Sus scrofa: one gene and its partners. The protein of the gene in region 2 purifies or fractionates together with the protein of the main gene of each other region. This does not show direct contact. Links are inferred from orthologs where the notes say so. Each region holds a gene or a part of one and is shown on either strand. Other genes may lie near its edges. The genes, in order: NUP62, NUP214 and KPNB1.

What was found.
Region 1: the proteins of NUP214 (region 2) and NUP62 purify together in Homo sapiens (affinity purification with mass spectrometry; 5 studies listed by BioGRID and IntAct, with this or other methods). This does not show direct contact. The link is inferred for Sus scrofa from reciprocal best matches to the Homo sapiens genes NUP214 and NUP62.
Region 3: the proteins of NUP214 (region 2) and KPNB1 purify together in Homo sapiens (affinity purification with mass spectrometry; 3 studies listed by BioGRID and IntAct, with this or other methods). This does not show direct contact. The link is inferred for Sus scrofa from reciprocal best matches to the Homo sapiens genes NUP214 and KPNB1.

What each region holds. Positions count from the first base shown.
Region 1 is NC_010448.4:54,942,777-54,947,023, forward strand, and holds the start of NUP62 (nuclear pore glycoprotein p62), read right to left. Parts: upstream 2,930-4,247; 5' UTR 2,809-2,929; exon of another isoform or gene 2,605-2,808; intron 2,379-2,604; exon of another isoform or gene 2,291-2,378; intron 1-2,290. UniProt on the Homo sapiens protein: Essential component of the nuclear pore complex. The N-terminal is probably involved in nucleocytoplasmic transport.
Region 2 is NC_010443.5:271,106,809-271,110,457, forward strand, and holds part of NUP214 (nuclear pore complex protein Nup214), read left to right. Parts: intron 1-320; coding exon 321-516; intron 517-1,382; coding exon 1,383-1,534; intron 1,535-2,306; coding exon 2,307-2,505; intron 2,506-3,649. UniProt on the Homo sapiens protein: Part of the nuclear pore complex. Has a critical role in nucleocytoplasmic transport.
Region 3 is NC_010454.4:23,939,753-23,942,963, reverse strand, and holds part of KPNB1 (importin subunit beta-1), read right to left. Parts: intron 3,101-3,211; coding exon 2,986-3,100; intron 1,699-2,985; coding exon 1,537-1,698; intron 617-1,536; coding exon 616-616; 3' UTR 1-615.

The DNA of each region.
Region 1 (4,247 bases), on a different chromosome or scaffold from region 2:
AAATATCAGACAACACTAAGAAGGAGGCACTACGGACAGCCACTTACATCTGTATGTTTCTAGTCACTAAACTCCTGGCACTTTCTGTATGTTTCTAGTCACTAAACTCCTGGCACTTTCTAGTCACTTTTATCCTGGCACTATTTTTTTTTTTTTTTTTGGTTGCGCCCACAAAACTTCCCGACCAGGGACCAAACCCTCACCAAGTAATAACCAGAGCCACAGAGGTAACACCAGATCCCCAACCTGCTAGGCCACCAGAGGACTTCTGTTCTGGCACTATTAATGGAAACCGAGGCACAGCGAAACTGCCAGGAAGCTAATAAGTGGGGTATAGTCAGGGTGTGAATCCAACAACTTGCCTCCAGAGTCTGTGCTCTTAACTACTACTCCATGCCGCCTAGGTAATAATGTGGCCCCAAAGGACAAGTGCTCAAATACTGGCACAGTGGACAGGAAGTACTCTAAGGGAACGGGGTCAGATCCCAAAAAGGGCTTCCTGTAGGAAGAGCAGCCTGTACTGGGTATGTAATATATCAAATGATCAGTATAATTAACACTGCTGTATGTTACATATCAAAGTTATTAAGAGAATAAACCCAGAGTTCCCTTTGTGACTCAGTGGTTAACGAACCAGACTAGGATCCATGAAGATGCAGGTTCGATCCATGGCCCTGCTCAGTGGATTAAGGATCTGGTGTTGCTGTGAGCTGTGATGCAGGTCACAGATGTGGCTGGGATCCTGCATAGCTATGGCTGTGGCTGTGGCGTAGGCTGACAGCTGTAGCTCCATTTCAACCCCTAGCCTGGGAACTTCCATATGCCTCAGATGTGGCCCTAAAAAGCAAAAAAAAAAAAAAAAAAAAAAGAGAGAGAGAGAGAGAGAATAAACCCTTCCATATGTCATACCTTTGGCTCGGATCTGATTCCTGGCCTGTGAACTCATATGCCATGGAGTTGCCAAAGAAAAAAAGAAATATGTATTTTTTCTAAGTATCTATTTATTTACTTTTTTGGGTCTTTTTCGGGGCTGCACCTAAGGCATATGGAGGTTCCAGGCTAGGGGTCGAATCGGAGCTACAGGTGCCGGCTTACGCCACAGCAGCACCAGATCCAAGCCACATCTGCGACCTACACTACCGCTCATGGCAACGCTGGATCCTTATCCCAGTGAGCAAGACCAGGGATTGAACATGCATCCTCATGGATGCTAGTCAGATTCGTTTCCGCTGCACCACAATGGGAACTCCCTATTTCTATATCTTTAATTTCACATCTACAGGAAATGATAAATGTTCACTAAACTTATGGGTAATCAAATTGTTATACTGTACACCTTAAATTTATAAAGTTTAATTATATCTTGAGTAAAACTGGAAAAAAAAAAAGCACATGCACATGGAACAAAACAAAAGAGGCCCATGTATCATTCCAGGTAACTCAAGATCTGGGTCTCCCACCTTTGGATCTTGACTCAGTCTCATAACCACCACCAAAGTCCTGAAAAGTTGTACTCCAGGTGTAACGTCTAGATGTGGATGAATGGGGGAGGAGAGGGGCTTGCAGCAAAGACCCTCGTCTACGGGGTCTGGTGGAAGGCCCTGTGTAATGGGAGGGACTGGCCAGGAAGCCCCATCTCTTTCAGCAAATGGAACTACAGATCTCCCTAAGTCTGGCAAAGGTGGAAAACTGATCTGGGGGTGAGGGTGGGGTGCACGGAGGTAGAAAACCATTTGAAAGGACGTCTAGGTGAGGGGCAGGGACAGAAGAATGAACCAACGGGCCTGAAAGGCGTGCTAAGGATAAGGGCTAAGGGGAAGCCAGCAGGGGATGGACACGAGAGTCTGGGCAATGATGCCTTGCTCCCGGCAGCAGGATGGGGCTGAGCGTCCATCGTTTGAAATGGGGGAGGGCAGGGATGCTAGAGCGAAGGAGACACAAGAATGATCTATTAGCAGGTGTTGGATGGTCGAGTCTGGGGCTCTGGCCAGGGGAGTTGGAAGGGGTGAGACTGGTCCCCAGAGGTCCTTGTTATGGATAATAAAAGCGGTTGGACCAGGCATGAAGGAGGGCTGGTTTCACAGACACCGACTGCACGGATTTTCACAAACGACCCCACTAGGAAGAGGTGATTATTCTCATTTTACAGGTAGTTCCCTATCTACGAGGCTAGAGAATTTAAATTATTTGCCCAAGGCCACCCGCGCCCGTCTGCGATTTGAATGGAGCGCGGTCTGTGACTCAAACCAGATCCTAAGCCACAACAAGGGTTCTCAGAGTGCCGTGGCAGTTGAAGAGATCAGCACGTGGCTGGCCGGAAATTCGTGAAGCAAGAGAAAGGAAAGGAGAAATGAACTCGTGCAGGGATCGGGGAAGAGGTGAGGCTGAACCACCAGAATGAGAGGGAACAGAAAGCCGGACCCCGGATCAGAAGGAGAAAGGGGCCCCACCCGAGTGGGGGTGGTCCAGGGGGTCGGGAGCAAAGCAGGGCCAGATCCTCAGGTCAGAGGAAGGGGAGGGCTGAACGCCCTGGTCGGAAGTGGGGGACAGTCCCCGGGATCCCCGAGGGCTAGAGGCCAAGCCCGCCTCCCGGTTGGGGCAGCGCGGGGCGGGGCGCGGAAGGATCCGGGCACGCCGTGCTGCGCCGCCCCCGGTATATCTGTCCCCAGTCCCCCGGGCCGCCTCATTCCCCATCCTCAGATCACAATCTCTCCTCACAGTACCGCGACACCTCCTCCGCCCGCGTAGCTCCAGCCATGGCTCTGTAGCCGCGACCCCTCTGTGCCCCCGGCCAGTCGCCGTGCTCACCGCGCCTGCGCTCTCCGCTCCTGCCGTCTTTCTTCAGCTGAGGCCACCGCCGCCTCTTCTTTCCGCAGCCATGGAGTGAGTAACCGCTCGCTCGCCCCTCCCTCTCCAACCGTCTTTCCCGCCCTTTCCAAGCTCGCGGCCCTCACCACCGGGCTCGGGGGGGTGGGGAGACAAGAGTGAGGAATCACGGTCGCGCAGGCGCAGAAGAGACAAGACGCTCCGTTTGCGCGCTGCGGAGCATGCGCACTCAGCTGATGGGGGGAGGGTGCGTTCTTCCAGACAATGTTGGCGTTTAAAGACGACCACATGCGTTTGCGCCTGCGCACTAGCTCCCAGAGAGGGTGGGTTTCCCCCCTCCTCCCCGCTCTGATTGAGTCTGTCAATCAGCGATTGCTCAGATCCACCGGCGCTTGTATCTCGGAGCAAAGGGCTGACGAGCAGCAGCCGCACGTGCGCAGCACTGATCCCGAGGAGGGCGGAGCCTTGCGGGGGCAATAGGACAGCTCTGGGGCTGGAGCCTGCGCTTTGGCCCTCGGCGAGACAGCCGTGTACGGGGGTGGGGGGAGGGGGAGTCGGGAGCTGTTCTCATCCCGCCCCCCTCCACCCTCCGCCTCCCTCCAGTTTGCTCAGGCGTAAAAGCACGTCTTCCCTCCCTTTCTTTCAAGCAACTACGGGGGCGGGGGCGGGGGGAGAAGGCGGGGCTTAGAAACGACCAGTTAAGGGACGGGAGCTAGGATAAGAGACGTCGCGGAGGGTGGGGCGGGGGCGGGGTACCCTTTGGGAGAAGGGGCGTGGCTAAGCGCGCCGTGCGCTGAGGGGGTGGGGTTTATATTGAGAAAGAGGCGGGGCCTCTGGGAATCGTCGGGGAGGGTGGAGCTAATAAACCAGGGGGCAGGGCTTGGGGGGACGGGAGACCACTGCAAAATTCGAAGGGAAGAATGGGATTTGAATGGAGGATTTTGATGAAGGGGCGGGGCAGGGGGATTCCCCTGGGAACAGATTCACAGCAGGAATCTAGGGACAGGGTGGGGCCTAAAGGATATGTTTTAGGGCAAGAGGTGTGGCTGGAAGAAAATTCCCCTGGGATTGAGGTTTTTGTGTTTTTTTTTTTTTTTTTTTTCCATGAGAGATAGTATTATGGGGTGGGTGGGAGGGTCTTAAGGTAATTCCCCTGGGACACCATTATGTTTCAATATTGGAAGGATTGGGTCTAGGGAATTCTGAGGAAAAGTAAGTCGGGGCCTAAAGAAAATTCCCTTGGGAATGGGTGGGGTCCCCATTTGAGGAAAGAAAGGGCAGATGTAGAATTCCCAAAAGGTAAGGAATCCTGGGGACCTGAGGGGGTATCGCTTGGTTTCCCCATGGCCTTGGCCGTTGGCGAGGCTGGCCCCTAACCCACTCACTTTTGTCTCCCACTCGTAGGTCCTCCACTCTCGCCT
Region 2 (3,649 bases):
TTTTTAAAAATTTATTTTATTCAATAAATACTAATAAGCACTATGCCAGGTACCACAATGTCATAGGAAGATTAAAAACGCGCAGAGTTCCCTCATGGCTCAGTGGGTTAAGGATCCTGCAGTGGCTCAGGTCCCTGCTGTGGTGTGGGTTTGATCCCTGGCCTAGGAACTTCCACATGCTGCAGGCATGGCCCAAAGAAGACTGAGCTACACAGTACTTAGCCTCAGGGTAACATGTATTTTGTCGTACTGGAATATAGTGACAGGTGATTTAATTTCCTATTTACTTGAATTGATCTTGTTTTGACCCCTCACCACAGGATTTTCAGTTTAGAGCACTGAAGAAGGTGAGAATCTTTGACTCCCCTGAGGAGCTGCCGAAGGAACGCTCAAGTCTACTTGCCGTGTCCAACAAGTATGGCCTGGTCTTTGCCGGTGGAGCCAGTGGGTTGCAGATTTTTCCTACCAAAAATCTTCTTATTCAGAATAAACCTGGCGATGATCCCAATAAGATAGGTAAGTTACTTAATTTATGGTGCATTGTAAAGAGAGGAGTCGTGCAGTGCTAATGCCATTTGCTTCCGAAGAAGTCATCCTCCCAGTACAATTAAAACTGCTGTTAGTCCTGAGATTGACCCCCAGGAAGAGTAAGTTCTGGGTAGGCTGCTGGAAGCTTTTCTGGGAGTTCCGTTTGATTCTTCGTGTATCTCTTTTGATGAGTTGTTCCTTGCTTTTAGTTTTTGCTCAGTTGAACTTGCTCCGGCTTTCTCCCGGAAGAGTTGTGTTGCATGGCTTTTTAGTTGTCATAGGAGCACCATCCAAACAAATGGGAATATGTACTATTTGGAGTGTTGTTACAGAAATTCAGCATGGGACACTATTTTCTTTTTCTTTTTTTGCTTTTTACACTCGCAGCATGTGGAGGTTCCCAGGCTAGGGGTTGAATCAGAGCTGCAGCTGCCAGCCTACACCATGGCCATAGACGGCCAGATCTGAGTTGAGTCTGCGACCTACACCATAGCTCACGGCAACACCGGATCCCTGGCCCACTGAACAGTGCCAGGGATCGAACCCACATCCTCATGGATGCTAGTCAGGTTCATTTCCGCTGAGCCATGATGGGAACTCCAGGACACTATTTTCAACAAGGAGCACAGCCACTGCGAGTTTCCCCAGGTCTTAAGAGGAAGAATCCTAGAATACTTAAAGCATCATTGTACATCTGCAGGACAGCCATGATTTATCTGCACAGCTGGGTATCAGGGTGTGTGCATATGTTTGTGTAGATGCTAAAGTTATTTTACGTCAACTTGAATAGAGGGCTTGTGGCTTATGCTTAGAACACTCCATCTTCTGCTTTGTGGGTTATTTTGTCTTCATAGTTGATAAAGTTCAGAGCCTGCTGGTTCCTATGAAATTCCCGATACATCACCTGGCCCTAAGCTGCGATAACCTCACGCTTTCCGTGTGCATGATGTCCAGTGAATATGGCTCCATTATTGCTTTTTTTGATGTTCGCACCTTTTCAAATGAGGTAAGCTGCTGGCAAACTGTAGGGACCTGGTACTGAATCAGAATCTACAAGTTCTGGGTTGACCTTTGAATCTTTTTCTAGATTAAAGTACGGGTTTTTAAAAGGTCCTTAATTATAGAATCACAGATCTTAGAGATAAAAGTGACCTCAAGAAATTATTTCGGGGGAGTTCCTGTTGTGTGGCTCACCGGGTCATGAACCCGACGAGTATCCATGAGGATGTGGGTTTGATCCCTAGCCTTGCTCAGTGGGTTCAGGATCCGGTGTTGCTGCGGCATAGGCCAGGAGCTGTAGCTCCGATTGGACCCCTAACATGGGAACTTTCATGTGCCGTGGGGTGACCTTAAAAAAAAAATAAAATTCAAGGACCCAATACTGTTAATAAGCAGAGCCCAAGAGTTCCCTGGTGGCACAACAGGTTAAAGATCTGGCATTGTTGCTGTAGCAGCTTGGGTCACTGCTGTGGCTCAGGATCAATCCCTCACCCAAGAACTTGCACAACCAAAAAAAAGAAAAGCCCAGATTTTAGTCTAGTATATACTCTTTATTGTTCTACATGTGTGTATTCCCCTGTTGAGTCTCTCCAAGTATGCTGGAATAATTGCCGTTTTCAAAGTTGTATTAAAATTGTAACAAACACGTTGTGCAGGGCTAAGTATTCTTGTCATGGAGCAGAGTGAACTATAATTGGAGAAAACTTGTGTATTCAATGTTTTTTTTTTTGACTGTTAAATGTCTGTTTATTTTTGTTTCTGGGCATTTGTTTTAAAAGGCTAAGCAGCAGAAACGTCCGTTTGCCTATCACAAGCTCTCGAAAGATGCAGGAGGCATGGTGATTGACATGAAGTGGAACCCTACCGTCGCCTCCATGGTGGCAGTTTGTCTGGCCGATGGCAGCATTGCTGTCCTGCAAGTCACAGAAACCGTGAAAGTGTGTGCCACTCTTCCCTCCACAGTAGGAGTAACATCTGGTGGGTAATGAAGTCTTCTGCTCTGTAACGTGTGGTAGTGGTCATCTATTTAAAAACTAGTTACTGGGGAGTTCCCACTGTGGCTCAGTGGGAACGAAGGCAGCTAGTGTCCATGAGGATGCAGGTTCGACCCCTGGCTCCGCTTTGTGGGTTAAGGATCCGGCGTTGCCGCAAGCTCCGGTGTGGGTCCGGCTTTGGCTCTAGTGTAGGCTGGCACCTGTAGCTCTGATTTGAGCACTAATCTGGGAACTTCCATATGCTGCGGGCAGGGCTGGGAAAAAAAAAAAAAAAAGCGAAAATAAATAATAAGAAAAACAATATTTTATCTTTGTGTGTGTGTGTGTGCGTGCGCTTTTTAGGGCTGCCCCTGCCCTGGCATATGGAGGTTCCTAGGCGAGAGGTCGAATCGGAACTGTAGCCCCTGGCCTGCACCATAGCCACAGCAACATCAGATCCGGGCTGCGTCTTTGACCTACACCACAGCTTACGGCAATGACAGATCCTTAACCCACTGAGCGAGGCCAGGGATTGAACCTGTGTCCTCATGGATGCTAGTCAGATTCGTTTCCAGTGAGCCGCAATAGGAACTCCATCAAAACAAAAAGAGGTGATAGTCCTTTAAAAAAAATTAATTTCTGGGAAAAAAAACCTCAAGTGGGTTTGTTTTGTTGTTTTTGGTAGAAGTGGAGAGAATGTTTCTTATTTTTGTAGTTACTGTCCTTGAAGCGAGACAGCATATGTGATTTAGCTTGAATGTACTTGGGTTTTCTGGAGAAAAAAATATTGTGGTAGAGCTGGTTTAGAACTGTGCTGTTAAGAATAACTGTTTTTCTCTTAAAGAGTCATATTTTGTACCTTCAGGGAAAAAGCATCAGAAAGTACCACGTAGGAGCAAGAGAATGATTTCTTGATGTCGGAAAATCTTCTCTTCTCGTTTTTTCTAGAGTTTTCTGCACTTTACAGTTTTCGGGGCCATGCTGCCCTGAAAAGGCGCTTTTAGCAGCTGATTCAGTGGCCCAGACATAACTCACAATTAGCTTGTGTTGTCAAAATGATTTTCCTTTTTTCACTTCGCCAAGTAAGGGTGATCCCACGGTTTTCCCTGACGTGACAGAGGAACAAGAATTGGTTTTGCTCCATGTTC
Region 3 (3,211 bases), on a different chromosome or scaffold from region 2:
GAAAAAGAAACTGCAATGACTTGAAGTTGAGAATGTGGATACCGCCTCACTCACACACACTCATTCTCAGGCTGGAAAGAATCCCTCACCCTCCTTTTAGCTGGCACGCATACAGTACCAGTACCGTGTGGCAAAGGTACACCAAAGGTGGGCTTGAGACCCAGGCTCCCATCTTTCTCATCAGTAGCAAAGGCCAAGCTGCCTTTTACAACAAAGCACCACAGCTGAACCCAGTCCCTCCTCCTCTCCCAAACTAGTCAATCCACTCGGCACTGGCCAAGAGACAGAAAAGCTAGTTCTGGCCTCTCCTGGGAAGAGAGAGCTTTCTTTTTTTTTTTTTAAGCAAGTAAATCCACCGTTTTCTCTTTTCCAAGATGGCCGACGTTATGGTTTTTCTACGAAGTCAGTGCTTACTTAGCTCACTAACAGCGCTGCTGTTGGCGGCTGCAGCTGCTGCTGTGGCAGGATTTTCAATGTGGTGTGTTTTCAAGCCTCACTCACTCATCCTCTCATTCCCAAACATTCAGCATCCGTGCACACTCCTCACTTCCGGGTTTTTCAAAAGATTGGAGATTTCCAGTGGGGGTCTCAGGTTATCATCCCATTGGTAACAGATCTAAAAACAGATGGAAAAAAGGTCAGTCTTTGAGATTCCGTATAGCCAGTAGAGCCAAACATTTCTCTGACTCCTAGAATTAAGCGCTCACAGGCTTGAACATCATTTGTCAACTTTCCAAGGACTGATTATTTTTCTTCTTTTTCTATGTGCCATCCACCTACTTTCATTAGTACCCAGAGAGGGTGGGAGGCAAACTAAAAAGATAAAACCCAAAACAGCCAATTTTACTGAGATCTATGGTATAAGATAATTGAGTATGAGAGGAAAACAAAACTACATTTCAAAGCAGAGGTCAAACAACTCTGACCTTGGGTATCTTCCGTACAGAAAAGCAATGTCTAAAAGCACTGCAGTGGGAGTTCCTGTTGTGGCACAACTGGATCTGTGGCATCTATGGAGCACTGGGACCTAATTCTATCCCTGGCCTGGCACGATGGGTTTCAGGATCTGGTGTTGCCCCAGTTGTGGTATACATCACAAATCTGATCCCTGGCCCAGGAACTCCATATGCTTGGGTGGCCAAAAAAGAAAAAAAATTAATAAAAGCACTGCAGTAAAGAAAGAACATGAGGATGGAAATAGAGGGTAGAAAGAAAATTATGGGAAAATACCCCTATCAGTTACTTCATTAAGGGTCCAAAATTATTTGGGGATTTCAGTGAATTCTAATTACTTAAGTTCTGTTCTTCACCACCACAAGGAACCAAATATTTGGCTCAAAGACTGGCTGCCTGACCTTCCACTAGTACAAGGCTGATGAACAAAGGCCTGGCTCAGAGGCACTTAACATAGGGAAGAGTACAAAACAAAACACCGAAGAAGAAAAAAAAAAAAAAAGGCCCTTGTCAGAATTGTCTGAAAAAATGCACCACCCACCTGCCTGCCCAAGAAAGTGGAAGAAAGGGACAAGCTCTTACCAAGCTTGGTTCTTCAGTTTCCTCAGTTCTTTTGTTGCCCAGGTAGCAAGGGTTTTTGCTTTGTTAGTCTTCGATCTCCGTCCTTCAGTTAACAGTTCATGGATCATTGGCCTAGCTTCTACTAATTTCAGTACATCCTTCCCAAATGCTGTACACAAGTCCCTGGACAAGATAAACACACCTGAAAGTGAGCTCCCGGCCCTATACCAAGATCATGAAGATTGTATTTTTTGGTCCCCCGCCCCCCTTTCTGGCTGCACCTGCAGCATATGGAAGTCCTGAGCCAGGGATTGATTCCAAGCCTCATCTGTGCCCTACACCACAGCTGCAGCAAGAGCAGATCCTTAATCTGCTACTCCAGGCTACGGATCGAACCAGCAATGCCAGGGACAAGCTGGATCATTAACCCACTGTGCCGCAGTGGGAACTCCCCTAAGATCATGTTTCGAACCTTCCAAACCAGTTCTAAGCCAGCTCTAGGATTTTGAGTATTCAACTTTTTAAAGCTGTAAGAAATTTTAAAGATAAATGAGTCTAACACTTGTCCTCAATGGAGGAACAAAAATGAAGTCTAATAAGTAGAATGACTTAGCCAAGGTGCCACAGCTAATTTACGGTAAAATCAGAACTAGAATTCAGATCTTGGAGTTCCCGTCGTGGCTCAGTGGTCAACGAATCCGACTAGGAACCATGAGGTTGCAGGTTCAATCCCTGGCCTTGCTCAGTGGGTTAAGGATCCGGTGTTGTCATGAGCCGTGGTGTAGGTTGCAGACGTGGCTCGGATCCTGCGTTGCTGTGGCTGTGGTGTAGGCCGGCGGCTACAGCTTTGATTAGACCCCTAGCCTGGGAACCTCCATATGCTGCAGGAGTGGCCCTAGAAAAGGCAAAAAGCCAAAAAAAAAAAAAAAAAAAAAATCCAGATCTTTGAGCTCCTCAAAACCAATGTTCTTCCAACGATGTCTCAGAAACCCTCAGTAGAGGAGGCTACACAGAGGCAAGTTGTTGATCAACACCAGAACATGGGATGGACACAGATCAGATGCTGCCTCTCTCTGAGAGCTAATTTCATAGTTTGGTGGGGAGAAATTAGAAATGTGGGGGGCCTGGAATGAGATTAGAGCTAAAGTCTAGAAGGAATAATCATCTGAGAACTCAAAACAGGACATCATGGAAGTTCCAGCGTGGCGCAGCAGGTTAAGGATTTGGCGCTGCTGCAGCTGTGCCACAGGTTACAACTGCCGCTCAGGAACTTCCACATGCTGCAGGTGTGGTCAAACAAACAAACACACACACACCCCGCGACAGCATGGGTTCTACTAAAGAAAGAAATCTCCTCTATGCCAATAAAGTGGGCAATTACCATCCAGGCCACTCAAAATTCTTTACTACATGTCTTCTCATTTTGCATGAGGAGTTCTATTCAGCTATTGGAAGCAGAGTATGACCTACCCTATGAGTCCGGCAGCACAAGCTATTACTCCATCTGTATGATCCTCATCTCCAGCAATGTGGTCAATGAAAGACAGAATAAATTCTACTCTAGGTTGTACCAGCATCACATCCGCTATAAAAGAAAGAGAAGGTGTGATGAAGTTGTGCCACATTTGGCAAGACTCCACCCTGTTTCATAATTTCTAAATACTCTGCCTCCATCAGGCAGGTTTTAGGCTGAACT